Arabidopsis thaliana: one gene and its partner. The protein of the gene in region 1 interacts with the protein of each later gene in a pairwise test. Each region holds a gene or a part of one and is shown in the gene's direction. Other genes may lie near its edges.

Region 1 (10,190 bases):
AGTTGTAAGTGTACTGAATCAGATGAAATGTGACAGAGTAGAGCCTGATCTTGTTTGTTATACAATCGTGTTGCAAGGCGTTATTGCGGATGAGGATTACCCGAAAGCAGACAAGTTGTTTGATGAGTTGCTCTTGTTAGGTTTGGCTCCTGATGTTTATACCTATAATGTGTATATCAATGGGTTATGCAAGCAGAACGATATTGAAGGCGCCTTAAAGATGATGTCTTCAATGAACAAGCTAGGTTCTGAGCCTAATGTAGTTACATACAATATATTGATCAAGGCATTGGTAAAAGCTGGAGATCTGAGTCGAGCTAAGACTCTATGGAAAGAGATGGAGACGAATGGAGTTAACCGGAACAGCCACACATTTGATATTATGATTAGTGCATATATTGAGGTAGACGAGGTTGTTTGTGCTCATGGTTTATTGGAAGAAGCATTTAACATGAACGTGTTCGTTAAGAGTTCGAGAATTGAGGAAGTCATTAGCAGATTATGTGAGAAAGGTTTGATGGATCAAGCAGTCGAACTTTTAGCACACCTGGTTTAAGCAATGTGGAGCATCTCTAAATAGTTGTAAAATTGATGTATTTGGTCTTATTGATGATTGTTAGAACTTAATAGAAGAGTGATTAGTTTGCTTGGCAAGACTTTCGAAGTAGCTTGGTTCTGTTTGTTCAACGTTAATTGCACCAATTGTTCCACTGCTATCACTGAAACTTACCTTTAACCTTAATGTATACAAAGTTGACACATCCATCAAACTTGACTGTGATAATTGGGAATCTTTCAGTGTATTGTGTACTGCTTGGATTCCGATTATAGCTTTTAGGTAAAAGAAAATTTCAGTATGCAATGAGTCATTCATACACCATGTTCACATAAATGAAAGGACTGGTAACAAAACTTAACTTCTGTTTTTCTTGACACACACAAGTACAATCCTTGATAACCTTAAAACAACATTATTGTACCAAAACACAGTAGAAAGTAAAAGAAATTAAAAAGAAACTTGATAGAACAAGCAACATCATATGGTTCTTCATCATGTAAGATAGGCATCGCAATGCAAGAAGTCCCATATAGTTCCAAGAGCATCTCGTAGCATCTCCAAAACACAACCCCTCTCAGTGTTCTGCTCCTGCAGACCACAAGTATTATCACCATAAGCCTCGCACTTCCATTAGAGTTTCTAAAATAGTACAAGAGCACAATAATTTACCTGTATTTTAGTGTCGATGTCTTTAAGCGTCAAACTCACCTCCCTCTTGGTTTCCCCTGTTCCAGTCGTCTCATTGAATCTATCAGTCTCTCTTACCCTAAGCCTTAGAGTTTTATTTTTGTAGATAGTAGCTCTAACGTGACAAACTTCAAATTCTTTGTATCCATCTTCAGATAAAGCTTTACCAAACGGCCACCTTAAACCGCCTTTTACATTTGGATCAACAGTTGCTGATTCCAATAGCGCTTTAATGTCACCTATCTCTTTATCCTGCCGATCAAAGAAAGATCACACAACCTAAGTCTAAGAAGAGCATATTATTTATCCATATATTGTAAAATATATATACCAAACTTGAACTTACACTGAGATACGTTATTTCCCTCTTAGCGGTGAGCGTTAGTCTCATGTCGAGATTCTTATCAATGCATGACACATCAACAACCAAATGCCTTACAGGATTAAGGTCGACCTATATAAAAGCAAAACTCAAGATTCAAAGTTAGATATTAAAGGAAGACCAAGTAAAAATGTGACATCTATCAAATTCTTGTTTGTTTTTCTTGCTAGTCCGAGAACAATAAAGAAGAGATTTTACTATTGGTTGTAGTCACTACACACATAAAACTCGAGACTTGCCTTGTACATACTGAGCCGTCCATCTTCCTTACGGGTACATTTACAGTTGATGGTTGCATTAGGACGAGAATAATGCGATACCTAAAAATAGAAGCCAAACCCAAATTAGCACATTCAAATGACATTCGAAGTATAGATCTAAATCTAAGAAAATGAAACGAGTACCTTCACAGTGTATGTTTCCTTCTCCTTATCAATAGAGAATCCATGGCTTGGTACAACATTAGATTTTATGTGTTGTAAGTAAGACATTGGGAGATCAGTAGAGAACATCTTATTCAAGTTTTTTAGTGAACATTCAGCCACAGGACCAGCTTGACTCCTGGTTTAAAGTTGTATATGTTAGAAAAAATATAAACCCATTCCTGAAAACAGCAAAATGTGAGATCAGACGGTGAATCGCTTACCCATAGAAGAAAATTTTACCAAACCGAGCAACCAGTCTCGATACATGATGATGCTCCTTCATTTCAGTCTTAACTCGCTCATATGCCAACACAAGATCCTCCATAACCTTCTCAGCTACTAATAGCCACTGAGTTCTCTCATCCTTCCTCTCTCCAATATTCATATTCACTGAATATAAACATATAAAAAACCATACTCAACATAGATACAATGCATCTTCTTTTGGCAAAAACGATAATAGCACAAACAAAATAGTTAATAGTATTGTTTATTTCAGCATCTAGATGATATTCATTTTGTCAAACACATAGCCAAAGTCTACTAATAGTTTCTTACCATTTTGGACATTGTTGTTCATCAGTATTGAAGGCTTTTCTCCTTTTCTACACTCGACAGAATCTGAGGACAAGGGCACAAACTTAACATACGAAGGAACATCGTCCTCAATTCCATTTGAACCAACAAGAAACCATTTGGAAATGGAATCTCCTGAATAGATAATCTTGTTGCGTTTAACACTGCTAGTGCTACTCTTAAAGTCAAGGTTCTTCTTGAATTTTGTAACAAGAGAATCTGGAACAGGGGTAGGCTTTGTCGGATCCTTCGAATGCCTCTTATGTGGTGGAATATAAGACATGTCTAAACCTGAAACTCACAACAACATCAACCAAAAACGATTTCAAGATAAAACAAAAAAATCTCAAACTTGGAGCTCAAATAAGAATTGCTTTACAACGAGCGAAGAAGAATATAAAGACAGAAACTTTAAGGTGAGAAGAGAGAAGTCGAATCATACCTGTAGGCTGTAGTCGAAACTCAACGTCTTTTAATATTCCTGCAGAGAAGTAACAGTGACACTCAAATAGACTCTTCGCTCCCTTTTTAATCTTTCAATTAACTCTCATCCGTTTCTCAAAAATGACTTTAATTAGATTGTGTTTGGTTTCGATAGGGATCACAATTGGACAAACCTCAAGCCTGAAACTATCAGGTTCCCGAGGGGTTTGGTCTTAAATGCAGGTTTTATTGCAACAAGGTTTTGGTTTTGTAAGAATTTTTCACTAAAAGTAACAATTTTTTAAGTATTTCTGGCTATCGAAAAATAGAAAAAGAAATGTTTTCTTAAAAAGTCTTTTAGCGTTGAGGTTCTCAGACTCTCTCTCTCTCTCTTTGCCCCTACCTATATCCGCCGTCTTGAATCCACAGAAAGTCCGTTTTAGTTTCCAGCTAAGTGATGTCGTCACATATCTAATGGTGGTCGGTCACTACTTAAATGAAGACAGAGAAGCTTTTCTAGTCTTCTTCTTTCTAAAGTTCTTACCTTTAGAATTTGAACAAAAGTATCAGCGAGCTGATCAGACAGAGAAGCTCAAACAATGCCGTTGACGAGGTACCAATCTCGTAACGAGTATGGATTAGCAGATCCGGATCTGTATCAAGCTGCTGATAAAGATGACCCTGAAGCTCTGCTTGAAGGAGTCGCTATGGCTGGTCTCGTTGGCATTTTGCGTCAACTCGGTGATCTCGCTGAGTAAGTTTCTCTCCAATCGAAATTTCTCTAATTGATCTCTAAGCGCATCGAATTCGAAGTTTTGGAATCCGTTGTTGTAAAGCGACAATTTTGATGAATCTGGATTTGGTTGTGGAAGTGGAAAAAGTTTTGATTTTTTGATGGAATTGTCTTTAAATTCATGTAATTTGTGATGAAGGTTTGCTGCTGAGATGTTTCATGACTTGCACGAAGAAGTAATGGCTACTGCTTCTAGAAGCCATGGTTTAATGGCTCGTGTGCAACAGTTGGAAGCAGAGTTTCCTTCTATAGAGAAGGCATTACTGTGTCAAACCGATCATTCGCCGTTTTTCTCTAACAAAGGTTAGATTGCTATGAACATTCATGATCTGGTCAGCTACTATGATGTTGGATTATTTCAACATGATTCTGTGACTCTATTTCAGGTGTGGAATGGCATCCGAATCTACAATTGGAACAGAGTGTGGTTACAAGTGGTGACTTACCTCGTTGTGTGATGGATTCTTATGAGGAATGTCGAGGTCCTCCAAGGCTATTTCTTCTGGACAAGTATGATTTAGCCTTGTTTGATAGGACTTCTTCTTTAGTCGTTTGTTAGAGAAGGATATATGTAACATCTTCTGATGGTTTTGATTAGGTTTGATATTTCCGGAGCTGGGGCTTGTTTGAAACGCTACACCGATCCATCGTTTGTTAGGCTTGAAACGTCTTCATATGAAGAATCATGGGATGATATTCAGAGAGAGAAAAAATCACAGAAAGCAAAGGTACTAGCTTCTTAGTTCAGGTTGTAGCTTATGGGTTGCAGTGTGATCCTTCTTGGTTATATTTTGGTTTCCATTACATGGTAGATTTTCTGAATAGTAGATTTTCTTATGCTCATGGTGTTTTGAATGTGTAATCTTACCTTCCATTTTGTGATTCTCATAGTTTTCCTTCTATTCTCTTGTAGAGGAGAGCATCTCAGTGGAGGAATGGAGGGACACCTGAAAATGCATTATCATCACATGCCAAGTGAGTATTATCTATTTTATGTCTTGTGTGTTTGTCATTTCTGTTATGATATATATGTAGTTCCTATATTGGTATCTGACTGTGACTAAAAATGGCTGGTTTCAATTATTCAACTGGCACAGATTGCATGAATTGTTTTTGGAGGAGCATTTAGAGGCTCATCATTCAGATCCAGCGCGCGTTGTGAAGTTGAAAACCAGAAAGCTAGATGGGTGTTCCCTTATTTCAAAATCAGGGGAAAGCTACATGGAGAAATTTGTGCAGACACGTGTAGATAGTAAGATAAGTTATGAAATAATTACCCAAAACCCCGGATTGTTGACATGGAATATGGATAGTGCTAGAGATGTAGTAACCGATATACCTGAAATCAGTATGGTGGGTGCTATGGATAAGTCTCATGGAGGAAGCAGAGCAGAGGTTTCATTCCCAAGTGAGCAGGAAAATGTGGCAAATGTTAACATGAATGGGGGTTTTATTGAAAAAGATATAGAGACAGTGCCTGAATCTACATACAATGAGGTCCGTGGAACAACTATTACACAGGATTCACAAACGGTTTTGAACGGGAAGCCAGGATTTTTTCAACAGAGGAGTTATTCTGAAGATTTAACCAGTGAGGCTGACAATTATGTGGACGCACCAGCCACCATGGAGTCGGAAACAGAAACAGACGATGAGTGTAGACCTAAGAGTAGATCAGATACTTTGAAGGATGGGAACCATCATATATATTCTGATGCGGTTGAAGAGAGAATGGAGGACCCACCTCAGTTTTCATTTTCTCATTCAAATGGAAACACACCAGTTTCGGAAAATGGGCGAAGCTCGTTTGGGAAAAAGAGCACTAGTTATTCTTACTCGGACACTGCAAGCATATCCATTGATGATCAATCTGATGGAGAGAAACTTTCGGGATGTTTACCTTCTACTTCTAGTTTTAAGAGTGAGTTGGTGGATTCTATGTCTCACGTTACTCCTGAAGCCAACAAAGTGTCTCATGACTTGAATGTTCAGGAATCAGTTAGTAGCAGCAATGTAGATGGCCAGACATCATTAAGTTCGAATGGTACATGTTCAAGTCCAAGGCCAGTCTCTCAGAATGATCAATCATGTTCACTGACAGTTCAATCTTTAGCATCAGAAGTCGTTGAAACTTCTCCAGAACTTGTTAGGCTTGATCTAATGAAGGGAGGCAATGATGGAAGAAAGGTGGATCCATTCGATTCTTCAAAATCTTGTGCATCTTTTGATGCTAAAAACTCTGACTTGCCTTCTGAAACTTCATCAATTAGTTCAACTTCTGAAGGAAGCAGATGTGATAGTACCATTGAGAAGAACTGTATGGTTGCTTCAAATTTAGTAAACTCAGGCACTAGTCCTCAAGCGTTTGTTGATAGTCAAACTGGTAAACAGTTACCTATCGCTGATACTGATTTTGAGACAAACTCTATAGTTGCTTGTTCTGAAGTTTTAGCAAACTCAGGCAGCGATCCTGAAGAACGTGATGGTCGTTGCCTAACAGGAAAGCTGGTACCTTGCTCAGCTGGGGTGGGGATGGAAGTTTCCCCTGATACGCCCTCTAAAGTCTGTGGTCCAAGTTCAGCTGATGGAATTCACTTAAAAGATACTCTGGATGATGAAACCGATTGTGTTTCAGTGACTAATGTTGTTGTTGACGTTGATTCTAAAAATTCTGTTGCCGACGTTGGTTCTCAAAGTTCAGTTGCTGACATTGATTCTCAAAGTTCAGTTGCTGAGATCTCCGATGAGCATTCATGTGCCTTTGGCAACACGGCTGATGTGTCTGTTTCAGAGTCCCATGAAGACACACTAGAGAATGGAATGTCCGTGCCTTCTGATTTTAACTCGGGAGTAGAGAAATTGGCGGGAGATGCTTCACCTACTTGTAGCAAATGCGATGACCATATCTCTCATGAAGGTTTTCATGACCTTTCAGGGCTGGACAACGCAACCACAGACATTGTCCCGAACGTTGAGCTTGATGTGTCTGATAATGACAATGACACTTCCAGTGGTGGTGTTAATCATGCCGTTAGTCTGTCATCGACTCGTGGGAAGGGTTCTCTGCCTTGGATTTCGACCAATACTTATCAATCGTCTTCTGATGCTGGAGAGATTTTCCATGATACAGTTGTAGAGTCTGACGGGACACTACTGGAAGACAATAATCCAGAGTCGGAAATAAAAATGCATAAAAGCCCTCTGGAAGTGTCTTCAGAAGGTCTGAGTACTGAACCAGACAACAAGGACGTAGAAAGTATTGAATCTACAAGTCCCAAGCCATCTCTGGATCAAAGGAACAGGGACACAGAAACCAAATCTCCTGGTGAGAGCATTCTTGATGATAATTGCATAGATTCCACACAAGTGTATAATCTGAACCTTTTAGAGAGTGAGGCTATCGACCAGGCAGTTAGAGAGCAAACATCTTATGCAAGCCATGAAGTTGCAGATGAGGAATTGCTGCAGTCAAATGTTTTCAGGGGCTTAGAGTTTGAACCACAATCAGCAGGCTTAGAATTTGCACCACAATCTGCAGGTATAGAATTGAACAGACCTAAGCAAGAGTTGAATCTGGATCCTACTTTTCCTAGCTTTGGTTTTATCCCTGAGACTATTCCGCCCAATCCAGAGGACATGCCACCCCTTCCTCCTATGCAATGGCTTATTGGAAAGGTTCCACATTCTTTTCCTACCTTCATGGGGGAATCAGTCGAAACCAGTAGTTCTGCTTTATCAGCGGCACCACCCATTGGTTCTAGCTTGAATGTTCAAATTGGGTCTCCACCATCAGAGCTATCTGTATCTTTAGGAAGTGACGAATCAGAACGACTTCCTGGAGGGTTTGTTCACAATGCATCAGAAAAGCCATTGCAATCATCCATTCAGTTCCCAACCATGAGCACTGATTTGAATAGTCAATACGACAGTTCTGAGCTCCCTACAATACCTTATCAGGAGTGCATAGAGGATTTTGGTTCTGAGGAGAACAATCTTTTGGCTGACCATGCAGCTCAGAACCACGAGCTCGTTTACTCTCAAGCGTCGTCATTGCAGCTGCCTCAGGTTAAACACGAAGATTTCAAGGACGATGCTGATGTGCATGAATCTCAAAGTTCAAGCGATGATCACCATTGTCCTGAAACCAAATCCCTGACGCCAACTCAATCAACAAAGGTAGAAGATAAGGGTCATTCGGTTCCTGATGCTTCAAATGCAGAAACTGCAGAATCATCAAACACGTCAGTTCAGAAGATAAATCCTGTTTCAGTGGGAGATGCTATGTGGCCTGTTAGCTGTTTCTCTGTGGCACCTACCTTGGACACATATAAGACAGAAGTGGTCCCTACGGTTAGGCTTCCTAGGCCAAGAAGTCCGCTTGTCGATGCTGTTGCAGCTCATGACAGACGCAAGGTACAAAATTTCATCTTGTCTGCAATACCATGCCTTTGCTAAGATTATGTCTCTAATCACTTGTTCTGATGATTTGCCAGATGAAGAAAGTCTCTGAGATGGTCCATCCACCAATCAAATCAAAGCAAGATGACAAAGATTCGTTGCTTGCACAAATACGAAACAAGGTAGCACATGTTGATCATGTAAAATCCCAGATGGTCCTGTGAACAGAATTTTGTATTTGGAATTTTATGAGTTGTGTTTTGTTTATGCAGTCCGTCAATCTAAAGCCGGCAGTAACAACACGACCCAGCATCCAGACTGGTCCTAGAACAGACTTAAGGGTAGCTGCAATCTTAGAGAAAGCAAATACAATACGCATGGTTCGTTACTCTCTTTCCATCTCCTTCAAAGATAGTAAATGTTTTCAAGTTTTTTCACCTTTTTCTGTGGTCCTTGCTAATCGTAGAGGCTTCATGTCAAAGCATTTCAATTTGACATGAAAATCTGAGGAGTTTAGTCTCACATTATGTCTTAGATTGGATCCGAAGCAGTCTCTTAAGTGGAAACAATGAATTATAAGCCTGATCATAGACCAAATAAAATATCACTTTTTCTCTATCGCACACACATCTAAAACCGGTTGAACACTGGTGCAGGCAATGGCTGGAAGCGACGAGGATGAAGATTCAGATAGTTGGAGTGATTCTTGAAATCGATGATCGTTGGCTTTTCCGTGGTGTTCGTTCTTGTATCATGATGAGTGCGCAAGCACTTGGAGTCAGGTAGGTTATACAATCTCTATTTCAGACATATAACATTAAATACATACAGTCATTGGTTATTTATATATGTATGTATGTATATTGTGTACTGTTTTATAGGTGTGTGTATGTTGTAATGTAAGTAGATTCCGAAATTTGCAGTAGTTTTACGGAAATTTGTGTGTAGGAATGTTTCGTTCTTTTTTTTAGCTCATAGAACATTCTTTTAGTAGGCTATGTATGTGTATTTGAATACATACATAGATATGTATTGTGTGTTCTCAATCATTTGCAGTGTCCTTTGACTGTATATTTGGTCATTTGGATAACGAATATCTATGAGAATCAGCTAGTTAGTGCACTGCACACACTTCAAAGGTAATATTTGGTTTCTAGAGGACTGAAATGATATGATGGTTTGCTTGCTTAGTACCAATAGGATGATCTTCACAAAAATCATTTGCAGGCATAACTGAGTTTCAATTTGAACCCAAATAGAGTAGTTGGATCGAGAAGGAGGATTGGAAGTATGGCAATCCTCAATCCTCATATGTAAATCAGTTGGAAGCCTACTTAATACTTGATCTCTATTCTCGGCTGGCACCACCTGTATCCTGTCTGAATACTTGATTATCGGGATCAGACCACATCGTCCGCGCAAAATACCACCCGGAACAGCACCACCATAAGCAACAGCCTCGACCGGGTTCACACCTGAGACGTTAGGGCTAAAAGAAACTATATGAGAGTGAAAAATCCTGAGATATCATTCTTGATTACCGTTATAGTGTCTGAACTCAAAACCTTAGACGAACTCATGCTACTAAAAAAAACAAGGAGACGAGAGCGAAAGAATGCAATTGTGAAGAATTTATGATGGCCTTTATATAGACAGAGCTCTTTATTCAGTAACCGTTATGAAATAGCAAGGAGCTAGTCTTAATTTCTAGTGGGCTAGGGAAAAAAATAAAAAAATTCTAGTGGGCTTAAGAGCTAGGCCCATAAGATATTTTAATATTATTTTATACAATGAGACCAAACCAAAACCAAACAAGAGATTGAGAAGAAAACCGATTTTTTCCTTTTATTTATTTTTATGTTTATAAATTAAAAATGGGAAAATCGATTCCCGTCAAAACAGGGCTAAGAGGAGCTTCCGCAGCAGTAGCTGGATTCATCAAATCCT
Region 2 (5,937 bases), 6.5 Mb from region 1:
TTTAATAACCCCACACTCTATCATTTTTCTTTAAAAAAATTATTTCAAGAATGATAGATTTGGAACCAATTAGTTCATACCTAGTTTCAATGGTGTAATCTCATGAAGATTCATCCGTTCTCTTTAATCTACTCGATGAGATTAATTTTCTTTGAATTAAATTTTGTTATTTTTTGCTTTCAAGTATTTTCCGTTTAATCTACATTCTAGTACTATACTCCGGACCTCTAGCATTTTATTTCTAAAATTTTCTATGTAAACTTTTTCCTCCGGATTGTACAACCAATCACTTATGTGTTTAAGGGTAAGAAAAATATGTATATGTTGAAAACTCGACCATGATTGTTCTGTCGGACTGGTTCATTTCTGAAATTAGTCGAGCGGATTAAATTGGTTGTAGTTGGCCATGTCCGTTCTACATATATTAACTGCAGTAATGTTTTGTGATAAATCAGGCAACTAACGGGAGTGGAATTAAATGGTTTGAGCGTTAAGGAGTTACAAAACATAGAGAGTCAACTTGAAATGAGTTTACGTGGAATTCGTATGAAAAGGGTAATATATGAATGCTCTAGGCCTCTAGCTGGTTCGCATGATGCTTAAAAATTGATAATAGAGCATTGAAGTTTAAGCTAATTATTCTTTTCGAACCTTGCAGGAACAAATTTTGACCAATGAAATTAAAGAGCTAACCAGAAAGGTAAACTATATGATATAACACATGATTATTAAAAATCAGACTCGGATGTTGTTGTTTGTGTTTACATTGTAAACACACATAATTTGCAGATGTAAAATGCAAACGATATTTTTAGTTTCTTCTTCGGTTTGTGTTTGCATTTGCAATTTACAAAAAAATCTGTTCTTTGAGAAAAGATACTAAAGATGTTGTGTTTAAGTTTGAAACGCATTATTAATCAATGTTATCATTTCTAGTTTTCAGGTTCTTATAAGTGTTTTATCTTTTGCAGAGGAATCTTGTTCATCATGAAAACCTCGAATTGTCGAGAAAAGTACAAAGGATTCATCAAGAAAATGTCGAACTATACAAGAAGGTAAAATAGAAACACAAACTTCATTACTTCAAGTTGCAGCTAACAAATCCTTTAAATCAAATTAATCTCCTAGTTGAAACTAGACAAATCTCAATAATTAATTATTGAGATCGTACGTAGTTACAAAAGTGTGTTGTGGTAATGGTCTTGCATACAGGCTTATGGAACGTCGAACACAAATGGATTGGGACATCATGAGCTAGTAGATGCAGTTTATGAATCCCATGCACAGGTTAGGCTGCAGCTAAGCCAGCCTGAGCAGTCCCATTATAAGACATCTTCAAACAGCTAAGATCATATAAGAGATATATAACAAATTGTTCGTTCTTGATTATCTCAAAACCCTTTCAAATATATATACGTGCATATTATATATGAAGACTCGTTTGACTATGTCAATATATATGTTTTCATGCAGGAGTAAGTGTGAGTGTAATCATGTCGGAGAGCAAACCAAAGGTTTGATTTGTACGATATATACTTATATATGGTCTCAAGTGAAAGCAATGGAACAGCTTCTCGATTATATTCTTTTTAGCTTTCACATTTGGTTTTAAGTACATAATTAAGACATACATGAACTACATATATAATATATATTTTAACTAAAAAAATTGAGTGTGATATAGGTTGGTTTAGTATATAAGCTATACTTTACCTAAAGTAAAATCAGAGCTCACTTTTGTGTGTGTGTGTTTGTTTTTGTTAGTCATTGAGATTTTTAATAAAGGGAGATTCATTTGAGATGATTGCTTCTATAGTTTAGAGAAAATTTGCAAAACAAAAAGAGTATACTATATATTGTCGTTTCAGGTAAAACGATGCAAAAAGTCAGCCTAGAAATTAACGAAGTTACATGACCATGACCAACATATGAAAACTGCATTGTTTAACATATCTCTGAAAAGATTATGTTTTTGGTCGTATTAAAATAACAAAAACGAAGTAAAAAAAATCTCAGATGTGAAATCAAACTAAGAGGAGCTAGGAGAAGAAAAATAAACCCTAATTTCCTTGGGATGTAAATTTTCACCGGTCGTACAATATAGGATTTTATGTGATTCAAAATTTTAGTCCAAAAGTAGAGGGTTATAAGTTTCTCGGTTTGAATAAATTAATTTAGTGATTTTGATTTAGCGCTTAAATTTGATTGTAAACACAGTTCACTCTATTATATACTATTGTCCAATATTTTGCATACTGTAATCCACTTTTAACCTACAAAAATATTGATATAATTAGTCCGGTTTACTGCTAATTGAACAACCATTCAAAATTTGATTTGTTGTATAGACAATGAGTTATGCCTCATCAGAAATAATCACAACTTAAAATTATTCTAGTATGATGAAATATGTGTTCTGTTTTGTAAATATTATAGATACAACCTATAAATAGTTATACAAGTTACAACCAATGAGCATACCGAATAATTCACTTGACTTTAAAACAAACGTATCTTGAATTCAAAGATTAAAGATTGGTTGTAATAGTATATATGCACGAAGAACCAAGAATTGCTCAATTTTTAATTGATAGTGACATTTGAATAGAACGAAAAAGATTGAACACTAACTAAGCAATCTACCAAAATATTAAACCAAACCACATAATATCAAATATCTTAAATTATAAAATAGCCCCTATATTTCCTCTTTATCTCATAAAACACCCGTTTCTTCTTCTAATCTTAACTTCTTCTTCATCAATCACACATCATCTAAAAGAAAAACAACCTACGATAAAATTCAGAAACTTTTTCTCTGAGACACCAAAAAAGGAAGGTGACCCTCCTTCTCTAATCGATTGCTTAATCATTTCTGCCGTTGGATTGAATCGAAAAAGGGCGAATTATTTAAAAAGCTTCAGAATTTGAAATCGAAATCTGTGAGTACTGTTGTGTTTGTGGAAGAGAGAGTTTTGGGGTTTAATAATGGCGAAAGCTGGAGGGATCACGAACGCAGTAAACGTAGGAATCGCTGTTCAAGCAGATTGGGAGAATCGAGAATTTATCTCACATATCTCTCTTAATGTTCGTCGTCTCTTCGAATTCCTTGTTCAATTTGGTAAACCTCACTCTCTCACTTATTTCTCTGTGTTGGGTTTTGAATTCAATTGACTAATTTTGGAGTTTTCTCGATTTCGTATTTGCTAAATTTAGAAACTTTGTTTTAGAGTTTTTGTCAAAGTAAGGTTTTTGATGATTGGGAGATTTGATTTTGGTGGTTGGTTAGTGAAAAATTTCACCTTTTTAATTGTTGAGATGATCAGATTTCATTTGCATTTGTATGGTCTTAGATCCATGTGCTAAGAGAGATCTTTGTAATGATCTCTTTGATCTTCTCAGCTTCAATTCTAGCTGGTTTTAGACAATGTTGTGTGTGATGAAACTTTCTTTTATGAGCTAATTTGATTATCGAAGTCATTGATGTCTGTGAGTTTGTAATTTCTCTGTGTGTTTCAGAATCAACCACAAAGAGCAAGTTGGCTTCTTTGAATGAGAAGTTGGATCTGTTGGAACGTCGCTTGGAAATGCTGGAGGTGCAAGTAAGTACCGCGACAGCAAATCCTTCTCTGTTTGCGACGTGAAACACCGTAGACGATATCGAAATCGAAACCGAGCCTGATCCTTTGGCTTTAACAGAAGAAGTCTGTTGTTGAATGTGTACCATTGAATGATTCTTTCTTTCTTCACATAGCTGTGGTAGTAAGTAAACTAGTAGCTTAAAATATGAATCTATTCATAAATATGTGTATCTTTTTTCTGTCCATTAAGATCTCTTTTGAATGACAAGTCATTTCGTTGAACTCTTGAAGTTTTTGCTTTCTTCTGCTGTTGATTTATAAACTTTGCAGAGGTACCCTTTTCATCTTCTATGCATCGGATTTGTATATTCGTCTTTTCTCTTAAAGTGGAACACATGTAAAACGCTCTTGTTGCCCATTTTTTCTTTTTCATCAATGGAGGAAGAAAAAACCGAAAAAGCTCACATCTCTTTTCCTCCATTAGATTCTGTCTGCATTTGTGACTCACATTGTTTTTTTGAGTTCCACTCGGATTCATCGAGACCGACCTAATCGTCTCCACCCGTACGTACTATGAGATCACCCCACGGATGCCTACGATATCCAGGGGTCGCGGACCAACCATAGAACCAAGCCATTGTTGAAAATATTCTGTTTTACGTACCTAAACCACAAAGTTCTGTAGACTATGGATGATTGACCATTTTTAAAAAAATATTCTGAACTCAGTTTTTGTTTTGTCTGAATTGAGATTTGCTGTGTTGACCAAGCTTCCAAGCTTGAAGCTGCAAACAAGAGTGAGAACTGAGAAGTAAACAATGGTACTCTTATTGTCTGTTTTTCTTCCAAGAAGTTAGTTCAGAAGGAAGTAATTCTTCATTGCAACTTAAAACAGCTTTAGACATGAGTTTCCCAAGCCAAGCATGATAGAGTAGTCCCCTTGATCCGAGCCCTGAAAATACCCAGAAGTTGCAAAACTGACCAGCACCTATGAGCTGATTAACACATCCCAAGAGCGGCAGTGATCCATGGCTTGTGACAGGTGGCATTGCTCTCAAGCCCGCCCTTGCTCCCGCAAATTCCCACTTTTCTATGTCTGGATAAACTGCACTTGCTTTCGGAAGAAGCTCGTTGAGAGCTCTTGAAGCTTCCTCTGCTGGGACATCCGATGAATAATTTCTTGATTGCCATTCCCATGTGGATCCCATGTGCAGATTACGGGGTCCCTGAACCGCGAGCCACGCATCTGACAAGATCGAAGGTCCATCGTCCGGGTAACTTCCTCTGCATTACATAATTTAATAAAGAAAAGCTTTTGAACAGGAAAAAAAAACCACAAAGATAAGTAGCTGAGCTCAACATAGTAATGTGCGAGTATGCGACTACATCAACACATACTTTCTTTTTTTGGAAGGTCTCACACTAAAAAAAAACAGAGAAGAATTGTACAATTGAAAGAGGATGTAAAGTTGACATCAGAGTTGAAAAAGAATACTAGGAATGGATAACTATAGGCGCAAGGTCTCGCAATACCTGGCACTCTCGTGTAACTGCATATGAGTAATGACACCTCGGCATGTCCTTAAAGGGAGCTTTCCAGTAAGCCCTGGAAGAAAGTCTACCTTGGATCCAAGACATATTACTACTGCATCATATCCTCCTACATATAACAACACAAAAGCTGTTCATACTAAATTTCTGACCATGCGGATGAGAACCTCAGAGAAAAAGCATGGATACTATACTCTTGGATTGTTAACGGCTATCTAAATTGTGTTTACGGTCTCTAGATTTAAGTTTATCACATCAGTTTTCATGCCTGTGAAACTTGATCCAAAAGGACTAGTTGTGGTTGGAGGATGTTTCTATAAAGCTTACGCAAGTTCCAGAATTAAACAAAAATATAAGAATATAGTTCAAAATCATTCACCTTCAAGTTCAAGCACATCAGTTATAGACTTGTTCACCAAAGTTATGTTTTTCCTTCCCAGTGATGTTTTTGCTGAGCTCTGGCATGCTAGAAAGAGTGCCTAGAGAAGGGAGAAAAACTCGGTAAAGAAAAACGCAAAAGCTTGGTGCTAACATATTTGTGTTGTCTTAACCTGGAGATATCGGTGCGGATTAACATTCATAGCTCCTGGAAAATAGAAGGCGCAGTTCAAAGGCAGGTATAGATTGGGGACGAGATTTTGTGCACCATCTTTGTCAATAGTCTCTACTACACAACTAGCAAGACAGTTTCGAGCATTCTAATCGCATAAGTAATAAACAGTAAAACTACGGGTTTAGTTAATATTTCAAAGGTATCTAAGTCGAGTTCAAACTTACATCACTCATTAAATCTAAAGTCTTGGCA

Evidence for each region.
Region 2: the proteins of SCAR2 (region 1) and BRK1 interact in binary tests that used the Arabidopsis thaliana proteins (3 or more experiments, as listed by UniProt).

The regions. Positions count from the first base shown.
Region 1 is NC_003071.7:16,091,899-16,102,088, forward strand, and holds SCAR2 (SCAR homolog 2), read left to right. Parts: upstream 1-3,336; 5' UTR 3,337-3,651; coding exon 3,652-3,806; intron 3,807-3,984; coding exon 3,985-4,148; intron 4,149-4,231; coding exon 4,232-4,355; intron 4,356-4,443; coding exon 4,444-4,573; intron 4,574-4,758; coding exon 4,759-4,820; intron 4,821-4,942; coding exon 4,943-8,258; intron 8,259-8,338; coding exon 8,339-8,425; intron 8,426-8,515; coding exon 8,516-8,623; intron 8,624-8,899; coding exon 8,900-8,953; 3' UTR 8,954-9,323; downstream 9,324-10,190. Other genes in the region: AT2G38420 (Pentatricopeptide repeat (PPR) superfamily protein), read left to right, coding at 1-556; AT2G38430 (uncharacterized protein), read right to left, coding at 1,052-1,147, 1,229-1,498, 1,593-1,700, 1,868-1,948, 2,033-2,189, 2,275-2,443, 2,612-2,912; AT2G38450 (Sel1 repeat protein), read left to right, coding at 10,118-10,190.
Region 2 is NC_003071.7:9,620,295-9,626,231, forward strand, and holds BRK1 (BRICK1), read left to right. Parts: upstream 1-2,702; 5' UTR 2,703-2,988; coding exon 2,989-3,121; intron 3,122-3,519; coding exon 3,520-3,644; 3' UTR 3,645-4,041; downstream 4,042-5,937. Other genes in the region: AGL17 (AGAMOUS-like 17), read left to right, coding at 456-555, 659-700, 972-1,055, 1,213-1,347; AT2G22650 (FAD-dependent oxidoreductase family protein), read right to left, coding at 4,409-4,865, 5,115-5,241, 5,512-5,611, 5,684-5,830, 5,910-5,937. UniProt on the Arabidopsis thaliana protein: Involved in regulation of actin and microtubule organization. Part of a WAVE complex that activates the Arp2/3 complex.